Linked DNA regions of Canis lupus familiaris. The protein of the gene in region 1 interacts with the protein of each later gene in a pairwise test. Links are inferred from orthologs where the notes say so. Each region holds a gene or a part of one and is shown in the gene's direction. Other genes may lie near its edges. The genes, in order: KLC3 and TSNAX.

Evidence for each region.
Region 2: the proteins of KLC3 (region 1) and TSNAX interact in binary tests that used the Homo sapiens proteins (3 or more experiments, as listed by UniProt). The two-hybrid records come from large-scale screens. The link is inferred for Canis lupus familiaris from reciprocal best matches to the Homo sapiens genes KLC3 and TSNAX.

The regions. Positions count from the first base shown.
Region 1 is NC_049222.1:110,905,065-110,914,701, reverse strand, and holds the start of KLC3 (kinesin light chain 3), read left to right. Parts: upstream 1-4,945; 5' UTR 4,946-4,988; coding exon 4,989-5,049; intron 5,050-7,559; coding exon 7,560-7,825; intron 7,826-8,312; coding exon 8,313-8,543; intron 8,544-8,840; coding exon 8,841-8,910; intron 8,911-9,278; coding exon 9,279-9,498; intron 9,499-9,637. UniProt on the Homo sapiens protein: Kinesin is a microtubule-associated force-producing protein that may play a role in organelle transport. Plays a role during spermiogenesis in the development of the sperm tail midpiece and in the normal function of spermatozoa.
Region 2 is NC_049225.1:8,339,871-8,349,715, reverse strand, and holds the start of TSNAX (translin-associated protein X), read left to right. Parts: upstream 1-4,532; 5' UTR 4,533-4,716; coding exon 4,717-4,732; intron 4,733-5,221; coding exon 5,222-5,326; intron 5,327-8,308; coding exon 8,309-8,423; intron 8,424-9,845.

The DNA.
Region 1 (9,637 bases):
GTCAGTCACAAAAGGAAACACTCTGTCAGCCCCTGAAGGTCTAAGCTCAGGCCTGGCATAATAGTCACTCTGCCATTGGCCAAAGCAAGTCACATGACCACACCTAACATCAAGGCCATCATTCAGGCCTACCTCCACAGGTAAGGGTCTTTTTGTGCTTTTTTCTAAAATGGGCACTCACTCTCATACAGGCACATACACTTCATATCCATGATATTTCTGGAAGGATATTAGAAACTGGCAGTCATGTTTGCTTCTGGGAAAGGGGTTTGGGGATCAAGGAGAGACAAAGATCTACTTTTCAGTCTTTTACTCTCTGTAAAACTCTGACAGTGAACTTTTTAAATTAAAAAGAAAGTGGTGAGCTTTTTAAAAACTATCACCAAGACAGGCGCCTGGCTGGCTCCGTCGGTAGAGCATGCAACTCTTGATCTCAGGGTTGTAAGTTCAAGCCCCACACTGGCTATAGAGGTTATTTAAAAATAAAAATTTTTTAAAGATTTTTTTTATTCATGAGAGACACAGAGACAGAGAGAGAGAGAGAGGCAGAGACACAGGCAGAGGGAGAAGCAGGCTCCGTGCAGGGAGCCCAACATGGAACTCGATCCCAGGACTCCAGAATCACATCCCTGACCGAAGGCAGGCTCTAAACCGCTGAGCCACCCAGGCATCCCTAAAAATAAAATCTTAAAGAAATAATAAACACAAATAAAAACTGGCCAGGGGGTGAAAAGAGAAAAGCCCCTAACCCATCTATCCATTTTCCTGTCATAGCAAACTGTGGCCTTCAGTGATAGGACGGGGGTTCCATTAAGTGCCTTCTTGGCCATGATCTTGAGCAATGGATTTCCCCTCTCTGAGCTTCGACTTCCTCATCTCTAGATAGGGCTAGAGATGCCTACCTAAGGGGGTGGCTGTCTGGATTCAGGGGCTCTGCTAATCCTTGGCTGTGTGATCTTGGACAAGTCATTTGGCCTCTCTGTGCCTCATCTTCTTCACCTGTAGAATGGGGATAATCGCGGCACCTACCCTATCAGGTTGGTGTACATTCACAGAGCTAATTTACTTACAAGATTTGGCCTCGGGCCTACCCTGGGTAAGAACTCAGAAACCCCAGCCCTCGTTGGTGTTGTGCAAAAGTGCTTGGCACGGGGCCAGCTGAAAGAAACAGACAGTTACCTCAGTTGACACTTTCTCCTTTCAGCCTTGATCCTATTTAATCCTAACTGCTATGCTGTGTGGGGAGCATGATCATTCAGGGTTTATAGAGGAGGATATAGGTGCTCAGAAACATTGTTTGCCCCAGGTTACATGGAAAGGAAATGGCAAGATCAGAATTTGAACTCAGACCTGCCAGGCTCCAACTGCCTCCCCCACAGTGTTAACCACGTGCTACTCTGTTCTGAGCCTTTTACAGGGATTACTCACTAATCCCCACAACAGCCTCACAAAGTAGGTTACCTGTGAGTCCCATTCTACAGACCAGGAGCCTGAGGCCCAGAGAAGTTCATTCTTGGCTCGGGGTCACACAGCCAGCACACGGTGGAGCTGGGATGTGCCCCTGCCCTGCCTCTTCCTAAGCATGTGGCAGATCCAGAACTGGTGCCCAGCACCTTGAGGCCGGCCCAGTGTGGGGAGGAGGGTAGGGTTTGTCTGCCTCCTTCTACCCTGTTCCCTAGAAACCCCCCGGGGATGTTAGAGCAGGAGCTTGAGTTGTATTTGCTATTATTCAATCAACAGCTATTCGCCCAAGTGCCTTCTCTGTGTTCAGTCTGTGCTGGGGAGCACTGGGGACACAGTGGTGCCTGAGACCGTCCCCTCCTGGGACTTACATTCCAACGTGGGAGACAGACCTGTCCTCAAGACAGCGATGACCCAGAGTGGGCAGGGCTGAAACGTGGGGGAGCCCGGGCGGCTGCCAGGCCCCTGTGGGGGCGGAGAGGGCTTCCTGGAGGAGGGAACAGCTGCACTGGAGCTCAGAGAACAAGGGAGCAGAGGGCAGGTGGGCCTTGGCTCTGAGGGAAGAGGCGGGTCTGCGCGGCAGCCTGAGGCCGGGATCACGGACCAGCAGCGCCCTCTGCTGGAAGCATCCTGAAGGGAGCGGTCGAGGTACTGCAAGGGTTTGGAAAAGTTTGGCGTTGAACCAAATTCTATGATCTGAGATCTGAGATTCCTGTGCGCCCAGCTTTGGCCGATTTAAGTTTCTAAGACTTGATTCATTCAACTACTCAGTGAGCAAGCACTTTGCACCGGACTCTATTCTAGCGCTAGTGATGCAGTGCTGACCATACAGAGCCCTGTCCATACAGTACCTCATTCAGTCTTCGCAGCCTTTATCCCCATTTCACAGATTCAGAGAATTGACACACACAGAGGTTAAGTTACTTGCCCAAGGCCTTCACTACCAAATGCTGAAAATCAACTTCGAACCCAGAGCCCAATTTCTAGTCCTTGCAATTACCTCGCTAATATATTATGGAATGAAATATCGTATGACCAAGTTACATAAAATAATCTTAGGTCCTGAGAAGTTTTGTAAACAGCAGGCAGGGGAGGGACACCTGTGTGACTCAGCTGGTTAAGCATCTGCCTTTGGCTCAAATCGTGATCTCAGGGTCCTGGTATCGAGTCTGGCTCCCTGCTAAGTGGGGAGGGAGCCTGCTTCTCCCTCTCCCTCTGCCTGACGCTCCCCTGCTTGTGCTCTCTCTGTCTGTCAAATAACTAAATCCTTAAAAAAGAGATGAAGCAGGGAAATGGAGTAGTGTTTTGGTGAGACAGTGTCATTAGAAAGGGCAACTAATATTCAACAAAGGAGGAAAGACTATCCACTGGAACAGTCTCTTCAATAAATGGTGCTGGGAAAATTGGACATCCACATGCAGAAGAATGAAACTGGACGATTCTCTTACATCATACACAAAGATAAACTCAAAATGGATGAAAGATCTAAATGTGAGACAAGATTCCATCAAAATCCTAGAGGAGAACACAGGCAACACCTTTTTGAACTTGGCCACAGTAACTTCTTGCAAGATACATTCATGAAGGCAAGAGAAACAAAAGCAAAAATGAACTATTGGGACTTCATCAAGATAAGAAGCTTTTGCACAGCAAAGGATACAGTCAACAAAACTAAAAGACAACCTACAGAATGGGAGAAGATATTTGCAAATGACCTATCAGATAAAGGGCTAGTATCCAAGATCTATAAGAACTTATTAAACTCAACAGCAAAGAAACAAACAATCCAAAAATGAAATGGGCAAAAGACACGAAGAGAAATCTCACAGAGGAAGACATAGACATGGCCAACACGCACATGAGAAAATGTTCCGCATCACTGGCCATCGGGGAAATACAAATCAAAACCACAATGAGATACCACCTCACACCAGTGAGAATGGGGAAAATTAACAAGGCAGGAAACCACAAATGTTGGAGAGGATGCAGAGAAAAGGGAACCCTCTTGCACTGTTGGTGGGAATGTGAACTGGTGCAGCCATTGTGGAAAACTGTGTGGAGGTTCCTCAAAGAGTTAAAAATAGACCTGCCCTACCACCCAGCAATTGCACTGCTGGGGATTTACCCCAAAGATACAGATGCAATGAAACGCCGGGACACCTGCACCCCGATGTTTCTAGCAGCAATGTCCACAATAGCCACACTGTAGAAGGAGCCTCGGTGTCCATCGAAAGATGAATGGATAAAGAAGATGTGGTTTACTATACAATGGAATATTCCTCAGCCATTAGAAATGACAAATACCCACCATCTGCTTCGACGTGGATGGAACTGGAGGGTATTATGCTGAGTGAAATAAGTCAATCGGAGAAGGACAAACATTATATGGTCTCATTCATTTGGGGAATATAAAAAATAGTGAAAGGTAATAAAGGGGAAAGGAGAAAAAATGAGTGGGAAATATCAGAGAGGGGGACAGAACATGAGAGACTCCTAACTCTGGGAAACGAACAAGGGGTAGTGGAAGGGGAGGTGGGTGGGGGTGGGGGTGACTGGGTGACGGGCACTGAGGGGGGCACTTGATGGGATGAGCACTGGGTGTTATGCTATATGCTGGCAAATTGAACTCCAATAGTTTTTTTTTTTAAAGAAAAAAGGGCCAGTAGGGAAGGCCTCTCGGAGGAAGCGGCCTTTGTGAAGCTACCAGACTAACGAATGGCGTCTGTGGGAATAGGGGGGGCCCAGGCAGCGGGCACAGCCGAAGGCAAGGCCGGGCGGCGGGCGCTGCTAGAAAGCCCTCGGCCTGGGATCCCTAGTTTCCAAGGGTCGAGCTGCGCTGCACCCCGGCTTGGCAGCCTCCAGCGCGCTGGGCTCGCGCTCAGATTCGACGGGCCCGACAGGCACGCGGAGGGCTTCGCGGGTCCGCTGCTGCGCTGGCGCTTCCCCCGCGGCGGGCGGGCTGGGCTCCGCGGGAGCGGCGGGGGGCGGGGCGGGCTCACCTGCGGGGGCGGGGCTTCCGCCCGCCCCGCCCCTCGGAGGAGCCGCCCGCGGCCCGAGACCCAGGGCGCAGCTGGGAGCCGCCGGGCGTGCGCGGTGTGCGGGACGCGGCCCGGCGCATCTCGGCGGAGCGGGTCCCGGAGCCGCCGGCGCTCAGGTGGGCCCCTCGAGTGCTGGGCGGGGGAGTCCCGGGGACCGCGAGGATGGGGGCGGAGGGTGAGGGCTGGGCCCCGCGCACCCTGGGGCCCGCTGGCCTGGCGACGGGGACGGGCCTTGGGGCTCCTGGGCCCCCTGGGCCCTCCTGCCCCGCCCTGGGGCCCCCCCTCCCGGGTCCCGAGGCCCAGCTGGGGCCGCGCCCCCTCCCCGGTGCGCAGGTAAACAGGAGCGAAGACGGGGCGGGGCCTGGGGGGAGGAGGGCGGGGGCCCTTGTGACGGCGGGGGTGGGGAAGCCGGGGTGCGCGGGGCTGGGCCAGGCCGGCCGCGGTAAGGTGTGCGGTTTAGGGGGCTGGCCTGCAGGTGCGGGCGTGGAGATGGGGCGTATGAGAGGCGGTGTGCGAGGCTCAGGTGTGTGTGATGGTGTACGAAGCTCAGGTGTGTGCGCGACGGGCTCCGGCGGTGGGTGCGGGCGAGGAAGGGACAGGGATGGTCCGTGTAACCGTGTGCGGGCGCCCAGGGACTGTGGGAACGACGTGGAGCTGTCTCAGATGCAACACGTGGGCGGACCTCTGTGCGTCTAATGATGGGGGTGGGGGCCGTGTGTATGGGAGGGAGTTGCTCTGTTTATAGGATTAGGTGCGTGACTCAGAGCTTGCGTGGCTGGGGCGGTCTTTCTGCCTGTTAAGGCGCGGGGAGCCGCAGGGAGGTGGGCGATGTGGGACCCGCATGGACGGGGAGGGTGTGCCTGGGATTAACACTGTCAGCTGTGCGGTTGTACGTGTGTGAAAGGGAGTTTGTTGTTCACGGGACTGAGTGTGGGCAAAAATCATGGGAATAATGGAGCTGTCTGAATGACTCCATGAACGTGTGATCGTAACTTTGTGGGGCTTGTGTGTGACACGGAGTATGGTGAGACATGTACACACATATATACGTATAGTGAGAGAGACTGGTGTCTGCACACACGTATATGTAGAGATTGATGGCAGGGGAGAGCCTGCAGTGTAGAAAATCCGTGGATTATGTGCCTGCCTTCCTGTGTGTCTTGGTGTATGATGTTCGTGAGCAGGTAAGTAGGTACCCAAACCACTAGGCTGCTTACGGCGCCCTGGTGGCTTGAGTGAGGCACATGCCCGAGAGGGTCTATGCAAACACCTCTCTGTGTCTCCACAACTGAATCTGAGTTCAGGAATTGTCTGTATGTCCGTGTTTGAAGCTCTGTGTATCTGTGTGTATGCTGTGTGCAGGTGCGTGAATCTCTGGCTGGCCGGGCAAGGTGTTGGGGGAAGTGGGGAAGGAGATGATAGGTCCACAGTGAATCCCAAGAGTGTGTGTGTGTGTGTGTGTGTGTGTGTGTGTGTGTGTGCGCGCGCGCGCGCATGCGTGCCTGGAGGAGGTGATGGGCATGTAATGGAGAGCTAGCTGCTTGCAGGACCTTATAAGTGCGGGAAAGGTGTGTCATGGGGGTAACTGCAAAGAGATAGCCTGAATGTGAGTGATTTGGGATTTGGTTATCTTTTCACTAGTGAGGGGGGACAGAGTTTCTGTGTGTGTTGGCTTTTTTTCCCAAGAGGAAAATACACCAGTGTGTGGGATTATATTTCCAAGAGGGGAGAGCATACATGTGTTGTTTCTGAAAGAGTATGTGGGTGTGCGTGCACGAGCCTGAGTAAGTGTGTTGCGTTTTTTTTTTTTTTTTTTAAGATTTTATTTGAGAGAGAGAATGAGCCAGGGGAAGAGCAGAGGGAGAGGGAGAAGCCTATTGTGGGACCCAATTCTGGAACCCCTGGATCATACTTGAGCTGAAGGCAGGCGCTTAACTGAGCCACCCAGGCACCCTTGGATTAGGTTTTTTGAAAGGAAAATGTGGATGTGTAGGATTGTATTTTTATTTTTTAGAGGAGAAAGAGAGTGTCCTGTATGTCTTGCTTCAGAGAAAATGTATATTATGTTTTTAAGAAAGAAAGGAGTGTGCATGTTGAGCCGTCTTCTTGTAGAGGGGAGTGTGTGTGTGTACGAGCAGGTGTGTTTCTGAGAAAGTACGTATATATTGCACTGCATTTGAAAAAAGAAAGAGCAGGTATTCAGTTTCTGAGAGGAGGAGAACGTGTGTGTCGCATTGTGTATTTAAGAAGGGAGGGTGTGCGTGTGTTGGGGTCTGTTTCTGGGAGGGGAGTGAGTGTGCTTGTGTGTGAATACAGAGGCTACAGAGGCTCCAGCAGCTGTGTCATTGACTTTGTCACCTACATACAACCACATAAAGTGCCACACATGAGACCCCCACCCATTAGCATCTAGGCCTCAGACTCTGAGCTGTCACAGGGCTAGTGTGACATCCATGGGCCGTGCCTGTCACACGTGTGTCCCAACATGCCTTGGGCTGGCGGAGCCTGTCTGCAGTGGAGGGTGGAGTCCTTGTTCCCTTGGGATCCATCAGGCCCTGGGAGCTGACACACAGGCACCCCCCCATCCCCCTAAATCTAGAGGGCTCCTCTGCTTCCAGTGCCCCAGCCCCTTGGCCCTCTCCTCCGGCCCCACCCCTCCAGCCCCAGTGGTCCGACTGGTTCCCAACAAAAACACCCTAAGAATGAGCTCACGGAGAGGCCGCCTCCACATGCCCCGCCCCACACACCCAGCAGAGGCGTGTGCCTCCAGTCCAGGTCACACGGGGAGTCCTGGGGCCAGGTATCTGGGGCCCTTGGGATAGACAGGGCTGGCCAGGTGAGCTGAGGGCAGGTGAGAGGCCACGAGACCACTGGTTGCCCCAGATTTTGAGTGGCCCTCAGGGCAGGGCCCATGGCTGAGGACAGGCAAAGCTAGACTAGAATGTTTCCAGTTGCCAGCTGGCTGGGATGGGTGCGGGACAGGGAGCCGGCCAGGGTGAGGAGGGACTGATGGGCCTGCTTGCCTGGCCCTGACCCCCCAATCCCTGCTACCCACCCCAGGAACAGCAATGTCCGTGCAGGTGGCAGCCCCTGGAAGTGTGGGGCTGGGCCCGGAGCGCCTGAGCCCCGAGGAGCTGGTGCGGCAGACGCGACAAGTGGTGCAGGGGTTGGAGGCCCTGCGAGCAGAGCACCATGGCCTGGCCAGGCACCTGGCGGAGGCGCTGGCAGGACAGGGCCTGGTGGCTGGCTTGGAACTGCTGGAAGAAAAGCAGCAGGTGGTGAGCCACGCGCTGGAGGCCATCGAGCTGGGACTGGGCGAGGCCCAGGTATGGGGGGGGGAGCAGCTATCCAGCCATGGGGGGGGAGGCTCAGAGCTGGGAGGAGGCCCGGGATGAGGGAGGCAAGTATGTAGGGGGTGATGAGCCTGGAGCAGGGGAGGCCTAGGGGAGCCAGGCCTGGGGAGGAGGGGTTCTAGGCTGGAAATGGGATCCCTGGGTGGCATTAGGGGGTCCTTTTGTGTGACAGGAGCCCCTGAACCAATGGCATCCATCTATAGAACTGTAGATTCTAGGGAGATGTTGGGGTCACATGGGTAGGATATGAAGTGGCCCTACACGTGATTTGTGTGCCTGAATGAAATCAGAAGGGTCCCTGGGTGGGGTTTGGGTGTGCCCTTGGGAGTTTCTGCACATCCTCAGAGTCACTTGGAAGGGCCAAGAGTTGGGGTGCTCTGGCATGACATGAGGCCCTGGGTTGGGCCAGGGACTGCCTGGTAGGAGAGGGACTGGGCCCCTGATCCCCGGCCCCCTGCAGGTGCTGCTGGCCCTGTCCGCGCACGTGGGCTCCCTGGAGGCGGAGAAGCAGCGGCTGCGAGCGCAGGCCCGGCGGCTGGCCCAGGAGAACTCGTGGCTGCGGGAGGAGCTGGAGGAGACGCAGCGGCGCCTCCGGGCCAGCGAGGAGGCCGTGGCCCAACTGGAGGAGGAGAAGAGCCACCTGGAGTTCCTGGGGCAGCTGCGCCAGTATGACCCCCCTGCCGAGAGCCAGGTGCTGCAGGGCTGGGCAAGCCAGGGGGCCCCCATCCTCCTTAGATCCCCCACAGACCTGTACCACTCCATGGAGCCCCCAGTGCCCTAGACCCTCCAAAGAAGCCCTAGACCTTCGACAGGGTTCCACAACCCCCAGACTCAGTAAAATTTCCACAGAAGCCCTCCCAGCTTCCACAAAATCCCCAGATCTTCCCCAAGCCCTCAGAAACCCCCCTCAAACTCGGAGGTCCAGGACCCTGGTCTCTAAAGCAAACTCCCAGCCCTCTTTGACTCCTCACTTTCCTGCCCTCTGCAGCGGCCTGAATCCCCTCCTCGACGAGACAGCCTAACCCCCCTGTTCTCCAGCGAGGAGGAAGAGAGGAAAGGTGGGTGTGGGGGAGCACGCAATTGTTGGGCCACTCGGCCACGGAGGATAAGAGGCTGAGGCCGGGGAGGGACGGAGACCCAAGGTGGATGTCAGGGCAGGGCGGCAGGAGCATGAGGCAAGGGGCCGGGCCAGGGCGCATGACAGCCGAGGCTGGAAGCTGTGAAACCAGGCGTGCCACAGCCGCACCCGCCAGGCGGACCCCGCGTTCACATCCCATGAACCAATCTCCAAGGTCAGTGCGGGGATCCGTCATCCCAGGGACCAATGGGCCAGTGAGGCAGCTATAGCCCTGGAGTATGTTCCTCTTTTTGGGGATGGGAAGGGTGGGAGGCTGGCAGTGACCTGATGTCCATCTGCCACTCGCAGGCCCTGAGGCAGCGGGGGCGGCAGCGGCTCAGCAGGGTGGCTACGAGATCCCAGCCCGCCTTCGGACCCTGCACAACCTTGTGATCCAGTACGCAGGGCAGGGCCGCTACGAGGTTGCTGTGCCACTGTGCCGCCAGGCCTTAGAGGACCTGGAACGGAGCTCGGGCCACTGCCACCCCGATGTGGCCACCATGCTCAACATCCTGGCGCTGGTGTACCGGTGAGGGCTGCGGCCGGCCACGGACCCATTGCTGGGGGCAGGGGAGCTGGCGTCCCACTCTGCCAGCATGGGGCACCTGGATTGGTGGTAGCAGGGGGTGTCGACAGGGATCTGGAGAAGCCAGTGATCCAAGCAAGGA
Region 2 (9,845 bases), on another chromosome or scaffold:
TGTATATAGCACATCTTTTTTCATTTACCAGTTGAACATTTGGGCTCTTTCCATAGTTTGGCTATTGTTGATAATGCTGCCATAAACATTGAGGTGCATATACCCTTTCAAATATGTATTTTTCTATCCTTTGGGTAAATATCTAATAGTTCAGTTGCTAGGTCATAGGGTAGTTCTATTTTTAACTTTTTGAGGAACCTCCAGATTGTTCTCTAGATTGGGTACACCAGCTTGCATTCCTACCAACAATGCAAGAGGTTTCCCCTTTCTAGGATATGGACATCTTTGGAAGGCCATTATTTGGGCTACCACAGAAGGCTTCAATGAGAAGGTGCCATTTTCAGTGGGGACATGAAATGAGAAAAGAAAAAGTCTTAAAGAAATCTGTGGAAAAAGCCATCCATTCTAAAAGAATAGTAGGTGCTAAGGCTTTGAGGCAGAACCATGTCTAGCTTGTTTGAGAACAGAAGGTCAAAGAGGAAGGTCAAACAGAGTTAGCAAACAGTAGATGAGGACAAGGTAATGAGGTGGCGGTTGGGGCCAATTATATAGGGTCTTGTAATAATTTTGATTTTTACTCTGAGGAAGAGGAGTATACTTGCAATTTTAAGTAGAGGAGTAACACCATCTCTATATTTTTTAAATGGAATCATTGACTGCTATGTGGAAAAATGACTGAAAGTTGGGCAAAATTGAAAACAGGACACCAGTGTCTATCAGTTAGCTGCACAACAAACTACCCTGAAACTAAAGGGATTTAAAATGACTGATTGTTTCTCATGATTTTGTGGTTTGTATGGCTGGTTCTTTTGCTCCATGGAGGTGATGGCTGGTGTCATCATTCTGTTGCATTCAGAAAGGAGTTCAGCTGGGACTGCAATGTCAAGGTAGAGTCACTCACGTGGCTGGCAGCTCAGCTGGGTTGGTTGTAAGGAACATGGGTTGGTCAGGCCTCTCTCTCCAATAGAATAGTCAGACATCTTACACCGTGGCTAATGGTTCCGAGAGAGCTAAAAGGGAAGCTGTTGGGTCTTTTAAGGTCTAGGCTCGCAATTGATGCAACACTGCTTCCTCCACATTCTGTTAGTAAAAACAAGCCAAAGGCTAAATCAACTTTAAGGGGAGAGAAAACTGACTCCACTTCTTGATGAGAAGGACTGACATCTATATTCAGTTAGGAGATTATTGGAGTATTTCAGATGAGAGATGATGGTAGCTTGGGTAAGCGGAAGATAGTAGAATTTGGAGAGACTGGTTGTAATCTAAGTATATGGTGAAGGTAGAACAAATAGGATTTGGTAATGAATAGTGGCATAGTCTGCTTGGGGTGTCATAAGAAAAGTACCATAACCTGGGTTGCTTAAACAACAGAAATTTATTTTTTCACACTCTGGGGAATGGAAGTCTAAGATCAGTGTTCTAAGACGGTAGGTTCTAGTCCTCTCTTCCTGGCTTGCAGATGGTGTCTGGCGGTATCCTCATATGGCTTTTCCTTGATGAATGCATATGGGGAAAGAGATTGTTCTCTCCCTCTTTTTGTAAGGCCACCACCAGTCCTACCAGATTAGTACCCCACCACATGACCTTACTTAATCTCACTTATCTCCTAAAAGCCCTATATCCAAAGATAGTCACATTGAGTGTTAGGGCTTCCACATAGTAATTTTGGGGGATGCAGTTCAGTCCAGAGTAAATAGGATGTAGAATGTGAAAGAGGGAGGAGTTAACGATGACTCTAGTTTTTTAGTCTGATCAATTGGAAAAAGATTATTTACATGAACTTAAATAGGGAATAATGCTGAAGAGATGGGTTTTGGGGGACTGGTGTGTTCAATTTTGGATATGTTAATTTTGAGATAAATATTAAACACTCAAGAAATAGGTGAATAAGGTACTGGGATATGGGTTTGGACTGGATATGAATTTTTTGGAGCAGAAGCATAATGTGGGGTTTTATTAGATTACTAACGACATTTAAAATCATCCGAATGAGATCAACATGAGACTAAGTGTAACAGAGAGGAAGTCTTTTGAGCAATTGATTGTTGAGTTTGGGGAGATGAGGAGGAACAACAAAGGTTTGAGAATTGGCTAGTAAGGGAGAAGTAAGGTCTCACCGAAAATGTTTACCTTCCGCTTCCCAACTTGGGTGGTAGCTTTCCCTTAAAAACAAACGAAAATATGTTTTGCCAAATAGTAAAACTCTGTGTATGCATATGAAGCAACAAACAAAGAGACAACGTGGAGATGACTTCTGCAGGTTACCAGAGGTGGTATTTCCTGACAAAGGAGCAGTTACAGATGGGACACCTGGTGAAACTGCATATGCAAATAAGTTCTGGAGAAGTGTTCCCGGGATTCACCTTTCAGTACTTTGAGAAGTCATTACAAGTTATGAAACTTTGCATTCTAATTGTAACAATTATGGGAAGCCTGAAAAACTGTTCAAGCAACATAGCTGTAGTTAAACAGCTGAACAGGAGTGGTGGCTGGGGAAAGAAAATAAACATGGCTGATCTAAATTTTGGGTAGTTGAGGTCTTCAGAGCTGCTATTCCAGTAGAATTAGGAAAAAATACTCTTCTTCTAAGACTGTGCTAAATAAATATTGACTCTAAAAATGTTCATAAGTTATTGGCTTCCTTATATCGAAGGGAGTCACATCTAAATTACTATATTTATAGCAGAAGGTTTTTTTTTTTTTTTTTTTTTTTTCTCCATGGTCAATTATTCTCTCATTAAAAAAGGGGAGATACTGGTGAACATCACCAGGGTCAGATCTCCTACAAACTCAGAATTAATTTGCCCCAAATCTACAAAGCAAGAGTCATGAGCAGCCTATTTTATCTGCAAGGAATTTGGTTGATTAATTCATGTAGTCGAAGAGCTGCAAAGGTATGGACAGGAGGTACCTTCTTGCTTCAGAGTGGGGAGAGACTCTAGAGATTAGCTAGAGCAGGAAACCTTCCTACCACACACCCCTGTCCTGGGCTTGAAAATTCGGCCATACTCTAGTCAAGTCGTTTCATTTACTATTCTTTCGTATTAGGAGGAATTAAGGACTGTGTGTGCAGCACGTGCCCACAACATGGAGATATTCAGAGAAAGTGTAATAAAACATACTTGTGTTTTCCCCACTCGGCCTACGCCACCCAATTTGCCAAAGCCCTACCCTGAGTTTATACCTAGAAGATGCTGGATTGCTACTTCGTTACCCATCTTGGCGATGGGAACCTCATCCTTGAACAAACACTTATAGCGGCTTTACAAGAGCTGTGGATCCCGGAGGCGCGGGTGGGAGGTTATAAAAGGTTGGAAGGCCTACACCTGGGTGGCTCAGTGGTTGAGCGCCTGCCTTTGGCTCAGGTCACCTCTCTCTCTCTCTCACGAATAAATAAAATCATATATATATGTATATATATATATATAAATATATAATCTAATAAGATATGGCAGTACCTGCCCCAAATAAAAAGCTCACAACTTAGTTGTGCGCACCTGTTAGCCTGTTATTACCAACCTCTCTCTCTTTTTTGGAGCGTGAGGTTGGGAGAAGGGTATGAAAGCTAATATTCTCTTTTTTAAAAAAAAGATTTTATTTATTCACGAAAGACACAGGGAGAGAGGCAGAGACAGGCAGAGGGAGAAGCAGCTCCCTGCGGGAAGCTGGATGCGGGACTCCATCCCAGGACTCTGGGATCCCAACCTGAGCCGAAGACAGACGCTGAACCGCTGCCCCACCCAGGTGCCCCTGAAAGCTAACATTTAATCGAGCAGGTACTATGCGAAAGGACACTCTTCTATGAACTTTAGTATTAACTCATTTGGCCCTCGACTAAGCGTATGACGCAGGTAGTATTCCATCCCTGTTTCACAGGTAAAGAAACTGAGGACAGTGGCTAACTGCCCTCGAGGTCACCCAGCCCCGCGGGGCCAGGGGACGCCGAGCGCAGCGAGCGCGCGGAGGCCGCGGTGCAGAAGGCGATGACAGGCGAGGGCCCGGGGCGGAGCACAGAGGGCGGGCTTTACCTTCGTCCGAACGCCAAGGCCGCCTGCTCACTGATTCGTGTCTCCCCATCACTTTGCCTGCTGGCCCCACAGCCAGGAATGGAAAGTTTAAACTCCCAGCTCCGTAAGATTCGGCCTGGATCCTGAGAAGACCCTCCCGTAGGCGATGGACGGCTCGCTCCCTCCTCACAGCCAGGTCGGGAGAGCAGCAAGGGGCTGACTCCGGCGGGCGAACTACAACCCCCATCACTCCCCGCGCGGAAGGCTGGGTCCACGCGAAGGGAACGCGGGGGTGTTCCCAAAGTGCCTTGAGGAAAAACAAAAAAAAAAATCACGAACACCTCCCGCCGTTTTTCCATCTTCACACAGGCCTCGCTTCCATCATCCGTTTTGATGGAAGCGCAGTGAGGCCTGTAGAGTTCGCTTTGTCTTCAGGCACAGCAGAGGGCAGCCGGGACGACGGCGCGCGGGCGCGAGAGCCCCGGGGCGCGCGGGGCGGAGCCTGCGGCGGCGGGGCCGGGGCGCAGGCCGGAAGTGTGCGAGGACGGAGGGAGAGGCGTGAGTGGCTGCGGGCGTGCGCTTCCGGCCAGTGCGTCGACGTCGGCCGGCCGCGGAGGGCTCCTCGGCAGGCTCTTCGGCCAGCACCTTACGCACCCCGCTGGCTCGCAGGCCTTGGGTCTCCGCTCATCTCGCCGTAGGCCGTGACGACATGAGCAGCAAAGAAGGTGGCGTCCTCGGCGGCCCTGGGCGTTCTTTATTCAAAGGGGGAGGATCTCCCTCCTTTTTGTCGGATTTTCCACTTCGCTTCCCGCTTGAGGGATTGCCCTCTCCCCATGCAGGCTCGGGGGCGGGGTGGGGGGGAGGGGCGGCCCCGGAGATTTCCTGGCCACCTCGGGCCTATGCACACCTGGCCATTTCTTAAATCCTCGAGCTGTGTCTTTGATTTTAGTTTGGTCATTGCTCCACCTTGTGCCAGATCAGGAAAGCCACTGGTGGAGGCCCCGGGTGAGGTGAGCTTAGGATTGGGGGGTGGGGGCGGGGGTGGGGGTGGGGGGAATAAAAAGGCAGGGCTGCTGCTGCGTGAGTCGGCCGAGCAAGCGAGCAAGCGAGCAAGCGTCTCGGGCCAGGGCCCCTGGGCGCGGGTGTGAGAGCGAGGCAGGGGCCAGCTCTGGTGCAAAAGCCCTACCCAACTGTTTTCTCCTTCTCTACGTAAGGATCAGGAGGGTTCAGGAAAAGGAAGCACGACAATTTCCCACATAACCAGAGAAGAGAAGGGAAGGATGTTAATTCATCTTCACCTGTGATGTTGGCCTTCAAATGTAAGTTTTCTGTCATGGAGGTTGGCGAAGGGAAGAGAGCGAGAGAGGTGGTAGCAAGGAGCGTTTAGGCATGTTGTGCTGCACACACCGTTAGGACGTGAGCTGTGCCGGTGTGACCCTTGTACCTTCTTCCCCCAGAGGTTAGCTGTGGTGCTGGGTCTGCCATTAAAGTCGAGGGTACTCAGGTGTTGGCTTTTTTTTTTTTTTTCCTGTAAGGGTTCTACAGGTAAATATTAGCATCAGAAATGCCACATCACTAAAAATTACTGCGTCCCCGACATACAAATATGTATCAGCGATATAGATCTGTCAGCTGTATGTATACATATAGATTTAATTAGTTCACTTTGTGTTTTTTTTTTTAATTATTTATTTATTTATGATAGTCACAGAGAGAGAGAGAGGCAGAGACACAGGCAGAGGGAGAAGCAGGCTCCATGCACCGGGAGCCCGACGTGGGATTCGATCCCGGGTCTCCAGGATCCCGCCCTGGGCCAAAGGCAGGCGCCAAACCGCTGCGCCACCCAGGGATCCCTAATTAGTTCACTTTGAAGCGTATATTTTGGTTTTGGCTCCTAAGCTAGAATCTTGAAGACCAGGATTAAGTTTTTTGTTGTGACTGTCACACCTCGCACAGAGCGGGACCTTTTCTATTAATAAGTCATATACATGCCACAGATATACGGCACATACATAATGTCTGTGTGTGTATGTGTTATTCACAGGCCTCCTTTTATTTTTTTATTTTATTTTATTTTTTAAAGATTTTATTTGTTTATTCATGAGAGAGAGGCAGAGACATAGAGGGGGAAGCAGGCTCTCTGTGGGGAGTCTGATGTGGAACTCCATCCCAGGACCCCGGGATCATGACCCGAGCTGAAGCATATGGGATGCTCAATCACTGGGCCACCCAGGTGTCCCTCACAATCCTCTTATTAACTTGGTTGAGTTGCTCCTCATTTCAAAAGAAAGCATAAAACAAAAATCTCCTTCCTGTCATCCTGTATCCACCCTCCTACACCTTACAGTTAGAGCCTGAGAGTGCCTGAGCTGTTGATTCTCACTCTCGGTCATCTGAAGACCTGAGTGGGCCTGGAGGATCCACCTCAGTTGACCAGTCGGGCCTTCTGCCAACAACCAGCTCTCCGTCCTCACAGGAAGCTACTTGAGTGGCCTAATGTTATGGCAGCTGGCTTCCTCGATCAAAGCAAGGAGGAAACCAGTCTTCTTAGGTCCTGATCTCAGACACAATACGCTGTTGCTTTTGCTACATTCTGTTTGTTAGAGATGAGGCAGTTTAAATAACTCTGCTTCATTTTTATTTTTTTATTTAAAAAATTTTTTTTTTAAGATTTTATTTATTTATGAGAGACAGAGAGAGAGAGAGGCAGAGACACAGGCAGAGGGAGATGCAGGCTCCATGAAGGAAGCCCGACATGGGACTCGATCCCGGGTCTCCAGGATCATAACCTGGACTGAAGGCGGCGCTAAACTGCTTAGCCATCCAGGCTGCCCTCTGCTTCATTTTTAAAGGGAACAAATTAGGTTCCACCTTTTGAAGGGAGTCCTAAATAATTTGTGGGTATATTTTAAAATCATGGCACCTACATTGATCTTTAGATGTATAAAACAACTTGTAATTGCTTAGTGTATTGATACAATGAATGGTATACACAGTGCAAAAACTGCAGTGGGCCAGGGTTTCCCCATCATTGTACTCTGACACACCATATACAGAGCTGCTTGTTTCCAAGCATATGTTGCTTTTGTATGTTTCTGTCTGCGTTTTCACACATAGTTCTTTAAGCTCAAAATTTCTTCTAATTTGCTAGTTCCATTGTCCATCTGGTGAACCATGGTTTCCTTCATAACCTAGTTCACATGTCTTCTTGGAAGTCTTTCTGACTTTTTTTGTCAAGCAAATTTATTGACAGACATTGCATTTATTCATTATCCATTCATCCATTTGGTCATTAAATATTTATTGAGCATCTACTGTGTTCTAGCATATGTTAGCAGGAACAAGAAAAATGTGGTTCCTGCTTTCCTGAACCTTTACACATGGTTATTATTAATTTTAATTGTTTACATTTTTGTCTTTAACTGGACTAAACTTCTTGAGGATAAGAATTGTCTTGTTTAACTTTGTATTCATAGTATCTGATTCACAGTTGTCATTAATATTTATAATAATGAAAGCTTTTCATTGTCTTGAAATACTAGGCAAAATCCCTTCTTAGTTGTTATCTCAATAATAGAAGCAAATGTATTTGGTCCTTGTCAACCTGTTAATTTGGTTAATAGTTTATTCAAGTTCTGGGGTTTTTTAAATCATGCAAAATACATCCCTGTGCTCCCTGTGGGACAGGATATTTGCTAGGTCTTTGTTGTGACAATGCTTCTGAAATAAAGTGGTGATTAAGAGTTAAGTGGCTTATGGGTATTTCAGTGACTAGGGCTTGGAAATTCAGAAAGTTGTCCTTAAAAGTTATGAACTTTTTTTTTTTTTTTGAACTTTTAATAAAAAAAAAAAAGTCCAGGTTTTTGTGGGGGGAGATAACATTGCATGTGATACGATTTAAAAAACATTATGAAAGGTAGTTGAAGTAATTTTTATAAAAGTCTCATGTGATAATTCTGCGATAATTCATGTTTACTAGATGAGGTTTGTTTTTTTTAAATTCTATATAAATATATATGTTTATATACATTTATATAAATATATATATATATATATATATACACACACACACACACATTTTACTATGAGGCTATGAGTGGTAAAATCCAGTTAAAGCATACCTGTTTAAAGAAAGAATATTTTGGTTACTACCAGTCTTTGATTTCCATCATTTAAATGAGATGATGTGTTCCTCATTTTTATAGAGTAAATAATAGTTCCTTTATAGTGCATAATAACAGTGTTGTTTGATAGGCTTGAAGCATGGAATATGCATGCTTATGGTTGTAATAATGTGTTAGCATTTCAGCAGGAACTTGATGCAAGACATGATAAATATGAGAGACTTGTGAAACTTAGTCGGGATATAACTGTTGAAAGTAAAAGGACAATTTTTCTTCTCCATAGGATTACAAGGTGAGTAAATATCTTTAAAATTTGTTATAGTTGCATACAGTTTGATATGTATTATATATATTTTGTAATGTTTTATACCTCAATGAACAGTAACTAGCTGTTAGAATATTCTGTGATTTGTTATATGAACATTGGGATCAGAAGACATTAGCAGCAAGTAGTTTTTTTTAGTTAATTTTTTTTAGAGTGAGCAAGCATGAGGGGAGGGGAGGGGAGAAGGCAGAGGGAGAGAGAGAATCTTAAGCAGGCTCCATGCCCACTCTGAAGCTAATGTGGGGCTCTGTCCCACAACCCTGAGATCATGACCTCAGCCAAACTCAAAGAGTCAGATACTCAACAGACTGAGCCATCCAGGCACCCCAGTAGCAAGTAGATTTTAAGAACAAATGTTTTAATCAACACAGGAAGGGAAAGTTCTTATTTTCAGAGCAGCTAGGGATTTGTGTTAAGATCACTCAGTGAAAAGCTGTTGTTTGTGAAAATATTAAATTTCTAATGGCTTCATTAGAGCCTGTTGCATAAAAGCTTTACTTGGATGATACATGTAAAATTTTAATGGTAGATCAATGTTGAAATCTAGTTATTTATCTTCCCATTCATTGATCAACTCATTGCAATCTGCTTTTCTGCCTCATAACTATTGAAATTGTCCTATTACCTTCATAATTGCTAAATCTAGTGCATACTCTTCTTATTTTACATTTTTGTAGCATATGATAGTATTGACTGCTTAATTCTCCTTTGGAAGTTCCCTTTTCTTCAGCTCTGAGGCATCTTTTCTTTGAAATTTCTTTCTGTAAGAATATTTTATTTTTCTAGATATATCCTAGATTCCTCAGTTGCAAATAAAAGAAACCAGATTATGAGGCGCCTAGGGCTCAGGTTGGTTAAGCGTCCAACTCCTAGTTTCAGCTCAGGTCATGATCTCAGGGTCAAGAGATTGAACCCCATGTGCAGCTCCACACTGAATGAGGAGTCTGCTTGAGATCCTCTCCCTCTCCTTCTTTACCCCCCTACCACCTGCCCACCCTGCTCACGTACGCATGTGCTCACTCTCAAATACGTACGTACATACATACATACATATAAACCAGCTTAAACTACCCTAAGCAGAACAGGGAAATGAATTATAAAGATTCAGGAGTATTCTATGAAAGCAGCTAGGTATCTCTATCTTCCATCTTTGCTTCTTTGTTTGCTTCCTATTTCATTTAATTGGCTCTTTGCCTCTCTGTTGTACATGAGGTTTAAAAGTGCCCACCTGTAACTAATTCCGATAGAGAAATTCTTGTTACAAAGTACAAATACCTCTAGAAGGACTTACAGTGTATATATCTTTTTAAGGGTTTAAGTTAATTATATCTTCCAGATACAATTTTTTTTTTTTTAAGATTTTTTTATTTGAGAGAAAGCAAGCACACA